Macaca fascicularis: one gene and its partners. The protein of the gene in region 1 purifies or fractionates together with the protein of each later gene. This does not show direct contact. Links are inferred from orthologs where the notes say so. Each region holds a gene or a part of one and is shown in the gene's direction. Other genes may lie near its edges. The genes, in order: MED12L, CDK19 and CDK8.

Region 1 (3,657 bases):
ATAGTTGAGTGTATGTGCATTGCCTCACTTCCCACAGGCAGGACAGATGGCATTGAAGAGACTTGAAAGATTGCTCTTCCCACGTCAGGGGCTCTTCATTCTGCCCATGTAGGATGATGCTGATTGAAATATTTTGGCCTAGGTCTCATTTTAAGAAATTTTTCTTTCCAACATGGCGCTTTGTTTGTCAATATGATTTGTTGATTGTTTTCTCATTGAGGACATTTTGTTAAAATGCCAATTTAAAACAGAATTTTTAACCAAATGCCTTGACACCCCTCTACCAGTGGAGGCTGCGGGCTGTATTGGGGCCTGTGGGCTGTGTTGGAGCTGCACACTAGAGGTCGCTAGCAAATACTCTGTTTTTGGAATCATCAGTCCTGGCTGCTAAATTAGCTCTACTAATATGCTGCTTTTTGGTCTTGGGAAATGTGCTGAAAAACAAACCCCAAAACAAGCTCAACAGACATATAGGCCTCTTTTCCCAGACTCTAAAATAAGAGTTTTATGTGAGAACTTAAAAATTTTTTAATTTTATCCTGTGTATAAATTGATATTCTTTCTGATGTATGTTTTAAAATCCTGCGTCTTGATGTAGAACATGAATTCACTGTCTTCTACCCTCACTGCCTGGCATGCGCATGTACAGTATGGATTGATGGTAGTTTGAGAATGGCTTCGAGGGCAATTAGAGCATACCAAATGATTTAGAAGCATTACAGTGGCTTTTAATCTTATAAGTAGAGGTATGATTTAAATTTTCAAGCAGCCTTTGGTTATTTACCACTTCCCTTATTTATCTAATAGTGAGGCAAAGAAATGAATGTTGCCAGAGGAAGTAATGCATTATTTCTAACTAGATCTGCTGTTATTACTTCCTTTGTAGTATGTCTCTTTTGAGTCAACAACCCTTCCTCTCACTGGTACTTACCTGCCTTAAGGGACAAGATGAACAAAGGGAAGGCCTCCTAACATCTCTCCAGAATCAAGTTAACCAGGTAAAGTATAGTATAATATTAAGCCAGGGAAATATCTTTCTAATGGCATTCATTTATTTGCCTTTCAAATACTGAAATTAAATTAAAAAGGGCTGAGTGAGGTGGCTCATGCCTGTGTAATCCCAGCACTTTGGGAGGCCGAGGCTGGTGGGCCACTTGAGGCCAGTAGTTTGAGACCAACCTGGCCAACATGGTGAAACCCCGTCTCTACTAAAAATACAAAAATTAGCCGGGCATGGTGGCGTGCACCTATGATCCCAGCTACTCGGGAGGCCGAGTCAGGAGAATTGCTTGAACCTGGCAGGTAGAGGCTGCAGTGAGCTGAGATCGCGCCATTGCACACCAGCCTGGGAAACAATAGTGGAACTCCGTCTCAAAAAAAAAAAAAAAAAACAGAAACAAACAAACAAAAAAACTAATAAGGGTACAAAATGTTTTGAGAAGATGCTGGGAAACAATCCATGCCCTGTTCTTCTACCTGGCATTCTAGACACCACAAGATTAACAACTTTATATTAATGATATGTACAATAAATATGTACAGCCTATAAAAGTAAAATTTTACATATTGCATATAACTTCGAAGTATCTGCCCCTCTCCTAACTTTGCCTCTTAGGAGAGGACCTGGAGGAATCTATGCTGCAGTAGACATGGCAGTGAGTCCAGCTCCTCAAGCTTGGATGCCACATTATCAGGCACAGTTTCAGCTTGAAATCTGTAGGTTCAGAAACTCAGTTTTACTGATGCCAACCAAATACACAAGAAATAAATCAGAAGGCATATTGGTTTATTTAGAAATAATTTGGACATTGCCTTTTCACCAAACACAGTTCTCCTGGTCACTGTTTGGGGCTCTTGCATCTATGTACTATAAGGAGACTGAGCATTCACAGTAGAAATTGGAGAGCATGGAATTAATAAAGTGGATAGATTGGTCTTATGAGGTGTTTTATCCTGATGCAGAGCCTAATCGACCCCTTCTTGTGGCGCTGTGTTTCTGTGACACCATGTCTTTCCCTCGAATGGTACTAGATGGACATGGACAAGGACACTAAATCTTTTTTGATCCTGTTGTCATTTCTCGCCTTTTGGATATGAAAGATCTAGATATAGCAGTCATAGTGAACCTTTTTAAATGTAAGTCACATATTACCTCAGTATACCTAATATAAAAATTCTAGCTGATAAGGGCAGGCATGATTTGACACTGGCTCTCTCGTCTACCTTGTCTCCTACCAGTCATGGCCCTCTTTCCTCCACTGTTGTTGCACTGGCTGGCCATGTTACTGTTCCTTGAACTTGCTGAGCAAATTCTCATTTCAGTGCCTGTGCATCTTTTCTTACCTTTTGGTGGAAAGATTACCTTCCAGATATTAGCATGGCCTGCTCCCTTCCTTCATTCAGGTCTCTGTTCAGATGTTACCTCCTTCGGGAGGCCTTGATCACCCTCTAAAAGTAGGAGCATAGCTATTCTCTATGCCATTGCATGCCTCAAATCACTTGTTACACTTAGTTTTATTGGTCCCACTACTATTATTTGAACTCCATGAGAGCTTGTTTAGTTAACTGCCTTGCCCCCTTAAGCCAGCCTTGAGAAGAGGTTCATTTCTTTTGATGAGATTTAGGAAGTGCTTTCGTCTCACCATGCAGGGTACTTACAGGTCATCTGTTGGGATGGAGTACTTTTGCATGTGATTCATTTGAACTCTTTTAAGATGACTGTCATTAACGACCATATTTCAGAGCATGGTAGGGTTTTTGTTGGTGGTTTTTTGTTTTTGTTTTGAATTGCAATTTTTTTTTTTTTGCTCATGTCATCTGATTCTAGGGTGTTGTCCACTTGTGGCTCCCTTTCCTAAGCAAATTTTTCCTTTTCCAGCATTAGTATGAGTCAGTGAGGAAGTGAAGAAGCAGCCCACTTTATAAACTGATAAGCCACTTGGCTGATGTCTACAATGCCATATTTTTCAAAGCACTGTGCATTCACTTTATCAAGGAAGACACATACATAAGATAGCAGACCTTCTCTTCTATAAAACATCAAAATAATACATTTGCTAGGATTCACAGCAAGTCCCTAGAAATATAACACAGGACTGAGGCAAAATGTAATTCTGTCTCTCCAGTGTTTTTGTTCGTAAGACCAATGAGGTAATGTATTTTAAAATTTTTATTAATGCTAAATGTGATAGCCCTCTCAAGCATTTTCCCAGACTTAATCATAGGTTATATAATTATATAAGATTTTCTTCTTCCACCTAGATGGGTAAATGCAAAATAACTAGCCAGATTTCTGTCTGCATAGAGGAAGAAGAAAGCTAAAATTTTATTTAGCTTTGTTTCTTAATTTGTTAAAGATAAGAAGTTGCTTTTTGCTATCAGTATAAAGCTCAATTTATCTTTAATTGAGAGAAAAATTAAACTTTAATGGAGAGAAAATGATTTCTTTTTCCTGATCTTAGATTTTAAGTAACTGGAGAGAAGAACGATACCAAGATGACATAAAAGCGCGGCAGATGATGCACGAAGCATTGCAACTCCGCCTAAATTTGGTAAGAGACATTTCTAGTATTTTCCCTTCATTAAACATATCTACATGTGAAAATAACTCCAGCTTTCCACTTCTCCTAAGTTCAGAGTCTGCATTACAAGGTGAGG
Region 2 (3,657 bases), on another chromosome or scaffold:
AGCAGTTCACTGGGAACTCAAGACCCTGGCTCTTGTCCTTTGGATGGAGGACAAACCAGGAATTGGCGTGACCAGGCGTATGCAGTAGTAGTCCTGGTAGACTGCATAGTAGAGGCGGTAATGAGGAAGAGAGATGGGACCATCAGAGGCAGCCATATCAGGGGGAAGAGTGACAACCAATATGACTTGAGAGAGAGAGAAGAATTCAGAAATGGACACTGAGCAGTATTATTCTTCTACTCTGTAGTGAGGATTACATTGTGTTTTATAGCCTCTTATGGTGGCAGGCAATGGTGTAATTAAAAAATGGTTGTTGAAGGAATATGTTTCCATTATCCAAAAGGCTAAATTATGTGGAAGGAAACTGTACCTGAATGTGGTCAAATAAGTAAGGCATTACTGTATGGATTTTTCCATTTGGCAATTCGTTTCAGGAGAGAGCATTCTGATATGTCTTCTAGCTAATGGATATACAGTAGTCCTCACTTATCAGGTGGGAATATGTTCCAAGACCCCCCGAGGGGATGCCTGAAACTGCAGATAGCACCAAACCCTGTATATAGTGTTTCTTTGATCTGATAACCCAGACGACCACTAAGTGACTAACCAGCAGGTAGTGAGTATACAGTGTGGATGAACAGAGGGATGATTCACATCCCGGGAAGATGGAGAGAATAGCATGAAATTTCATCACACTGCTCAGAATGGTACACAATTTAAAACTTATAAATTGTTTATTTCTGGAATTTTCCATTTAGTATTTTCGAACTGCAGTGGTTGACTGCAGGTAACTGAAACTGGAAGGCAAAAACTTGGATGAGGAAGGAATAGTGTAATTAACCTTTTTCCTTGTTTAGCTCATCGCAGAATGTGATTCCCATATTTAATAGGCTACTAAACACAGTACTTTTTTATCTCTGTACCATAGTTTTTTGTTTTTTCCGAGATGGTGTTTTGCTCTGTCGCCCAGGCTGGAGTGCAGTGGTGTGATCTTGAGTCGCTGCAACCTCCGCCCCCTGGGTTCAAGGGATTCTCTTGCTTCAACCTCCCAAGTAGCTGAGACTACAGGCGTACATCACCACACCTGGCTAATTTTTGTATTTTTAGTAGAGATGGGGTTTCATCATGTTGGCCAGGATGGCCTTGAACTCCTGGCCTCAAGCGATCCACCCACCTTGGCCTCCCAAAGTGCTGGGATTACAGGTGTGAGCCACCGTGCCCAACCTATACCATAGTTTTTGAATTTTTATCTTTTATTTTATTTATTTATTTATTTATTTATTTGAGATGGAGTTTCTCTCTTGTTGCCCAGGCTGGAGTGCAGTGGCGCGATCTCCGCTCACTACAACTTCCACCTCCCAGGTTCAAACAATTCTCCTGCCTCAGCCTTCCAAGTAGCTGGGATTACAGGCATGGGCCACCACGCTCAGCTAATTTTGTGTTTTTAGGAGAGGCAAGGTTTTACCATGTTGGTCAGAACTCCTGACCTCAGGTTATCTGCCTGCCTCAGCCTCCCAAAGTGCTGGGATTACAGGCGTGAGCCACCACACACAGACTGTCTTCTTTTTAAAAAATATTTACTAAATGGCATTTAAGTGGGCAAGTCTCACAAAAGTTAATTCACTTATACATCTGTCAAAGCATTGTGAATATAATATTGTAGTCTCAGAATATAAGCTGCAGTCTTTCAGTGTGTAAATTTTAATAGAATAATCTATGACTGGTGATTTTAGATAGTTAATAAAACTTCTAAAGATGCCTAACTTTATCCTGAGGGGTGGGGTGGATGTGGGGTAGCATATAAGTGAATATGTTTAAGTAAGATCTATGTCATGCAGTACTATATATAGTATTATTTATGAGCTTCTAGAGCAATTTGTTGAAAAAGCTGAAGCTAGTAGTCTTTGAGACAAAAGTTTTTTCCCCAATTCTTTTTATTTTATTTTATTTTTTGAGACAGAGGCTTGCTTGCTCTGTTGCCCAGGGTGGAGTGTAGTGGTGCAATCTGAGCTCACTGCAACCTCTGCCTCCTGGATTCAAGTGATTCTTCTGCATCTACCTCCTGAGTACTGGGACTACAGGCGCATGCCACCACACCTGGCTAAGTTTTTGTATTTTTAATAGAGATAGGGTTTCGCCATGTTGGTCAGGATGGTCTCGAACTCCTGACCTCAAGTGATCCACTCACCTCGGCCTCCCAAAGTGCTGGGATTACAGGCATGAGCCACCGCGCCCATCCTCCCCAGTTCTTTTATATGGTCTATACTGTCTGTCGAGACTCAAAACTTGTAAATTCTGCTCTATCATTATACATTGGATGGCTTTAAAAGAATTACATCACTATGTCTGATGATGATATTATTTCAGTATATCAGATCTGAGTACTATGCCTGGTATTAGATTATCAATTGAATACTTTAATGATTAAATTATTCACAGTGGTTAGATATGGTGAGACCTTGTCTCTATAAAACAACTAAAAACTTAGCCAAGTACAGTGGCACACACCCATAGTCTCAACTACTCTGGAGGCTGAGGCAGGAGGATTGCTTGAGCCCAGGAGTTTAAGGCTTCAGGGAGCCATGATTACAGCACTGTACTCCAGCCTGGGTGACAGAGACCCCAAAAACAACAACAAAAAAAGTGGTTAGAAAGACCTTTGCCTAAATCTAAAGAATTTGTTTTTTGCTAAATTGACTTACCCTGTTTATTGTCATCAGAAAATTTACAAGTAAATGTCTTTTTATTATTTGGCTTTCAATCTGTTACATGATGATATAGTTATTTCATGTCTCATATATATATACACACACACACATATGTATACATACATATATACACACACATACCCACACATATGTTAAAATACAAAGTACAATAATGTTTTCTTAATGCACTTATTGTACTTTGTATATTGATTTACTGAAAAGTATTTTTATAAGTAGGCTGGGATTATATCTGGGAATTATAACCAAGGAAATATATACAAAAACTTATGTTTCTTCTTTCCTAGATATATGGGCAATAGGTTGTATATTTGCTGAATTGTTGACTTCAGAACCTATTTTTCACTGTCGTCAGGAAGATATAAAAACAAGCAATCCATTTCATCATGATCAACTGGATCGGATATTTAGTGTCATGGGGTTTCCTGCAGGTAATTTATTTTCCTTTTTAAAGTCGTATTTTGAGTCATATTTCAAAATCATTTCTTCTCAAAAGCAAAATTTAATGTATATTTATAAACTGACATAATTGGGAGATTTTAAATTAACACATTATTTTCTATAACAATATTTAATTTTTTTGTAAGATAAAGACTGGGAAGATATTAGAAAGATGCCAGAATATCCCACACTTCAAAAAGACTTTAGAAGAACAACGTAAGTAATTCCACACAGTCCTAGTCTTTTTGTGCTGCTGTAAAAAAATACCTTAGACTGGGTAATTTATAAACAACAGGAATTTGTTTTCTCCCAGGCCTTGAGGCTGGACAATCCAAGGTCAAGGCACTGGCATGTTTGGAGTCCCGTGAAGGTTGTTTTCTGCTTCCAAGGTGGTGCCTTGTTGCTGTGTCCTCACATAGATAGAAGGGCAAAAAGGGGCAGATGCTGTGTGATGCCTCTTTTACAAGGCATTAGTCCCACTCCTGAAAGC
Region 3 (3,657 bases), on another chromosome or scaffold:
CACAGAGATGGTTTACATGTATCCCATCCCTGGCATTAGATCTCTCCAACTGTATCTCAATCCCTAGTTATACTACAGAACAGTGATCACCAGAAACTGCTCAGAGGTCCAGAATAATGAGAATTTGTTTAGAACACCTAAATTTTGGCTACTCAAGTACTTAACTCAAGACTAATAGAGATAATACCTGAGACTTTTAATTCTACATTCCCTTGTAAGGGTGTTAATTATCAGTAAATGCAGAATAACTACACAGTTACTGCCTTTCTCCAAAATTGGTCACCGGTTTGAAGAAGACCTCTGTTGTGATAGGAATTTTATTTATTCAGTGAATATTTATTAAGTACCTGCCATGTGCCAGGCACTGTTTTAAGTAAAAAGTTACTGATGATGTAACAGACAGGATTATCGCCCTCTTGGAGTTTACATTGTACTGCTATATGTAGAATGTTTAAAAAATAGGTGTGGTTTGAATAGAGACAGAAGAATTCTCTTTTCTTCCTGCTTCTGAATGTGTCCACCATTTCTGAGCCCATGAGAAAGGCATAGCTTCTGTGAGGGAATATATGGAGTGAGGACATCTATCAGCAACTCTTAATGTGTGTTTCAGAGGTTAGGGTGGTTTATAAGGAAGCTTGGAAAGCAGGCAGCAGAGGTTAGATTTGATAGCTAAAGAATGAGAATCCATGATAAGTTCTTCAGTACTAGAGACATGATTTATGCTACATTTTAGAAAGATTAGTAAGGTAGTGGTAGGTAAAACTCAGTTAAAAAGAGGTAAGCGAAATCAGAAACCAGCTGTAGCAGTGCTGCAGACATAAAGTGAGAGTGATAATAAGGATGGAGAAAAAAGGGCAGATGGAAATGTTTTATAGGAAGTGTATAAGCAAGGGAAAACTAAAAGATTATCTTAAGATTTCTAGCTTGAGAAGTCGATAAGATAGAGAAATTGGAGCAAGGAAATAGTTAAGGAGAAAATTCCATTTAGGAGTGTAAGTGTATGTTTAGTTTCCAATATGTGATATCTTTGGAAGATAGTTGCCAAATATTTTTACAAGTAAGTTCAAAGAAAAGCAAGCCTCTGAAGGCCATTTAAAAGCTAAAGGTTTTGGGAGGCCGAGGTGGGCAGATCACCTAAGGTTGGGAGTTTGAGACCAGCCTGACCAACATGGAGAAACCCTGTCTCTAGTAAAAATACAAAATTAGCTGGGCATGGTGGCGCATGCCTGTAATCCCAGCTACTCGGAAGGCTGAGGCAGAAGAATCGCTTGAACCTGGGAGGCGGAGGTTGGGGTGAGCCGAGATCGCACCATTGCACTCCAGCCTGGGCTGTTAACAAGAGCAAAACTCCGTCTCCAAAAAAAAAAAAAAAAAAAAAAATACTCAAGGTGCTATTAAGCTGCCCCTGACAGTCCTGTGCACCTAGTAGACTCTCAGGAAAACCCATTGACAGTGATGGAGAAAACAAATTATGTAGCATGTATTGTTTGAGCAACTCTGATGCCAGCAAAAGTAGCTGAAACGTTTTGTACTTAATGTATTTAGGAACTGAGGTTGTTTTGGGTAATGTTACTGAGACTAGCCAAGGTACCAGCCGACATTAATATACTAATTATATCCTACCCTATTCTGCAAATAGTTATTACCACTTACATTGATTGCTTATGTAAAGAAATATATTTAATAAGGTGAAAGGAGGGCTGTATCATAAAAAGAAATACAGTTTAAAGCCACTGAGGGGAAGATCTTAGATTTCTCATTGAAGAAATTAATTGCTGATTCAACCAAGAAATTTGGTAGAAAAGGGAAAATAAGCAGTTTTACTAATAGAAATAGGACATTTAATAAGATAAATAGAAATATTTATAACATTCTTCTCTAGTGAGAGAAATTGAGGCAGCTTATAGTAAAACATACAGAAAGTTTGCAGTTTGAAATTTAAAAAGATAAACAGATATCTAAAGTTATACAAGGGATAAGGAATTATGTTTACAGTTGAAGATGTTTACTGTTGCTGAACATTTATTTGAAGACTGAGCTTTTTTTTATGGGGTTTGAATGTATAGGAAGTGTAATGAACGTGGTAATATAAAAATTCTCAAAAATAGGAACTTAGGCAACATAAAAATTTATCAATGTATTTCACAGATAAAGATTGGGAAGATATAAAAAAGATGCCTGAACATTCAACATTAATGAAAGATTTCAGAAGAAATACGTAAGTTGAAAAAAAAAAAAAAAAGACCCCTTGTCGATTTTTGCTTTACCAGAGTACTCAGTATAAGACTGAATATTCATCATAATAAAATAAGATTATGCTAATAAATTTTACTTATTTACTCTAATAAATATTTTTCATGATGACAGTCTTTATTTCTTAAGATGCTTAAATGATTATATACAAAAGCAACTAATATTAGCAGCTGATTTGGATATAAAACAAATTCATTTCTTTCCATATTTACTACTTTTTGGAAGCTAGACATTAGAAGTATCACAGCTGAATAAATAAGAGTCTAAATAAATACACTTTGCTAATAGCCACTTGCTTACCAATCTAGGTTACAGTAATTTTAAACAATTTTTAATAGCGAAGAATGAATATTTCACCTGTTTACAATGCAAAATCAGGGATTGGGAGAGTTTCGTTTATATACCTATGACAAAAGTATTTTACACTTATATGTAAGGCTGAATTAAACTTTTGACCCAGATGTTATTTAAAATGTTAAATTCATATTAAGAAAAAGCTGTTTAGTGTCTGTTATTCATGAAATCGTCTTACATTTAATCATTGGTATCGTTTCAAAAGTGACCATTGTGGATATTGAATGAAATATAAAACTGATTTAATTCTACTCCTTTTATGCTCGTACTCTTCAGTATATATTGTATATCAGTTATGATCAAAATAATTCTTATCAGAAGAACTTTAGCCAATGTAAAGTTAACCTCAAGTCTAATATAGCTATTTCATAGTATTTCTCTTTCAGGTATACCAACTGCAGCCTTATCAAGTATATGGAAAAACATAAAGTTAAACCAGATAGTAAAGCATTCCACTTGGTAAGCTTTAGATAAACAGTATTAATGAAATGCATTTTTTCCTTAATTGACTGGCCCAACTGAGGCTTTTTTGGATCAATTGATATGGTTACTTAGCTCACATGCAGAGCGCTTTCACGGTGAATGCAGAGCTTGTTAGTGCATACCAATAAAGACAATAAAATATTTGCTTTTCCAGACTCATCTCATGGTTTGACAGACTAACGTTTGGTCACGCTAGATTTTCTAAAGATAGTGATGGGAACAAATCTGTCAAAACATTTATAAAATTACGTGTATTGTTTTTCATCTGTTACTTTAAAATTTTAAAAGTTTCAGAGAAGTATCAAGAAGAAAATACTTCTCACCATTGATAGATTGTTTTGTATTTCAGCTCTTTGAAAGACTGTTTACAAAGTTAACTTCCTAAATACCTCTTATAACCTTAAATGTTAACAGTCCTTCAGCAATTATATGTGCCATTTGATTTTTCTGGAAGAATGTGATAGATGCCATATTTATCAGTGTGTAATGGAAAAATGATTTAACCTAGAATCTAATTATATCCATGCACTAACAAGGTAATTTGTGATGAAATTATATTCAGCCATT

What was found.
Region 2: the proteins of MED12L (region 1) and CDK19 purify together in Homo sapiens (affinity purification with mass spectrometry; 3 studies listed by BioGRID and IntAct, counting the BioPlex papers as one, with this or other methods). This does not show direct contact. The link is inferred for Macaca fascicularis from reciprocal best matches to the Homo sapiens genes MED12L and CDK19.
Region 3: the proteins of MED12L (region 1) and CDK8 purify together in Homo sapiens (affinity purification with mass spectrometry; 3 studies listed by BioGRID and IntAct, counting the BioPlex papers as one, with this or other methods). This does not show direct contact. The link is inferred for Macaca fascicularis from reciprocal best matches to the Homo sapiens genes MED12L and CDK8.

The regions. Positions count from the first base shown.
Region 1 is NC_088376.1:54,230,611-54,234,267, forward strand, and holds part of MED12L (mediator of RNA polymerase II transcription subunit 12-like protein), read left to right. Parts: intron 1-886; coding exon 887-998; intron 999-3,461; coding exon 3,462-3,551; intron 3,552-3,657. UniProt on the Homo sapiens protein: May be a component of the Mediator complex, a coactivator involved in the regulated transcription of nearly all RNA polymerase II-dependent genes.
Region 2 is NC_088378.1:14,658,063-14,661,719, reverse strand, and holds part of CDK19 (cyclin-dependent kinase 19), read left to right. Parts: intron 1-3,013; coding exon 3,014-3,157; intron 3,158-3,313; coding exon 3,314-3,383; intron 3,384-3,657.
Region 3 is NC_088391.1:6,446,285-6,449,941, forward strand, and holds part of CDK8 (cyclin-dependent kinase 8), read left to right. Parts: intron 1-2,148; coding exon 2,149-2,218; intron 2,219-2,993; coding exon 2,994-3,066; intron 3,067-3,657.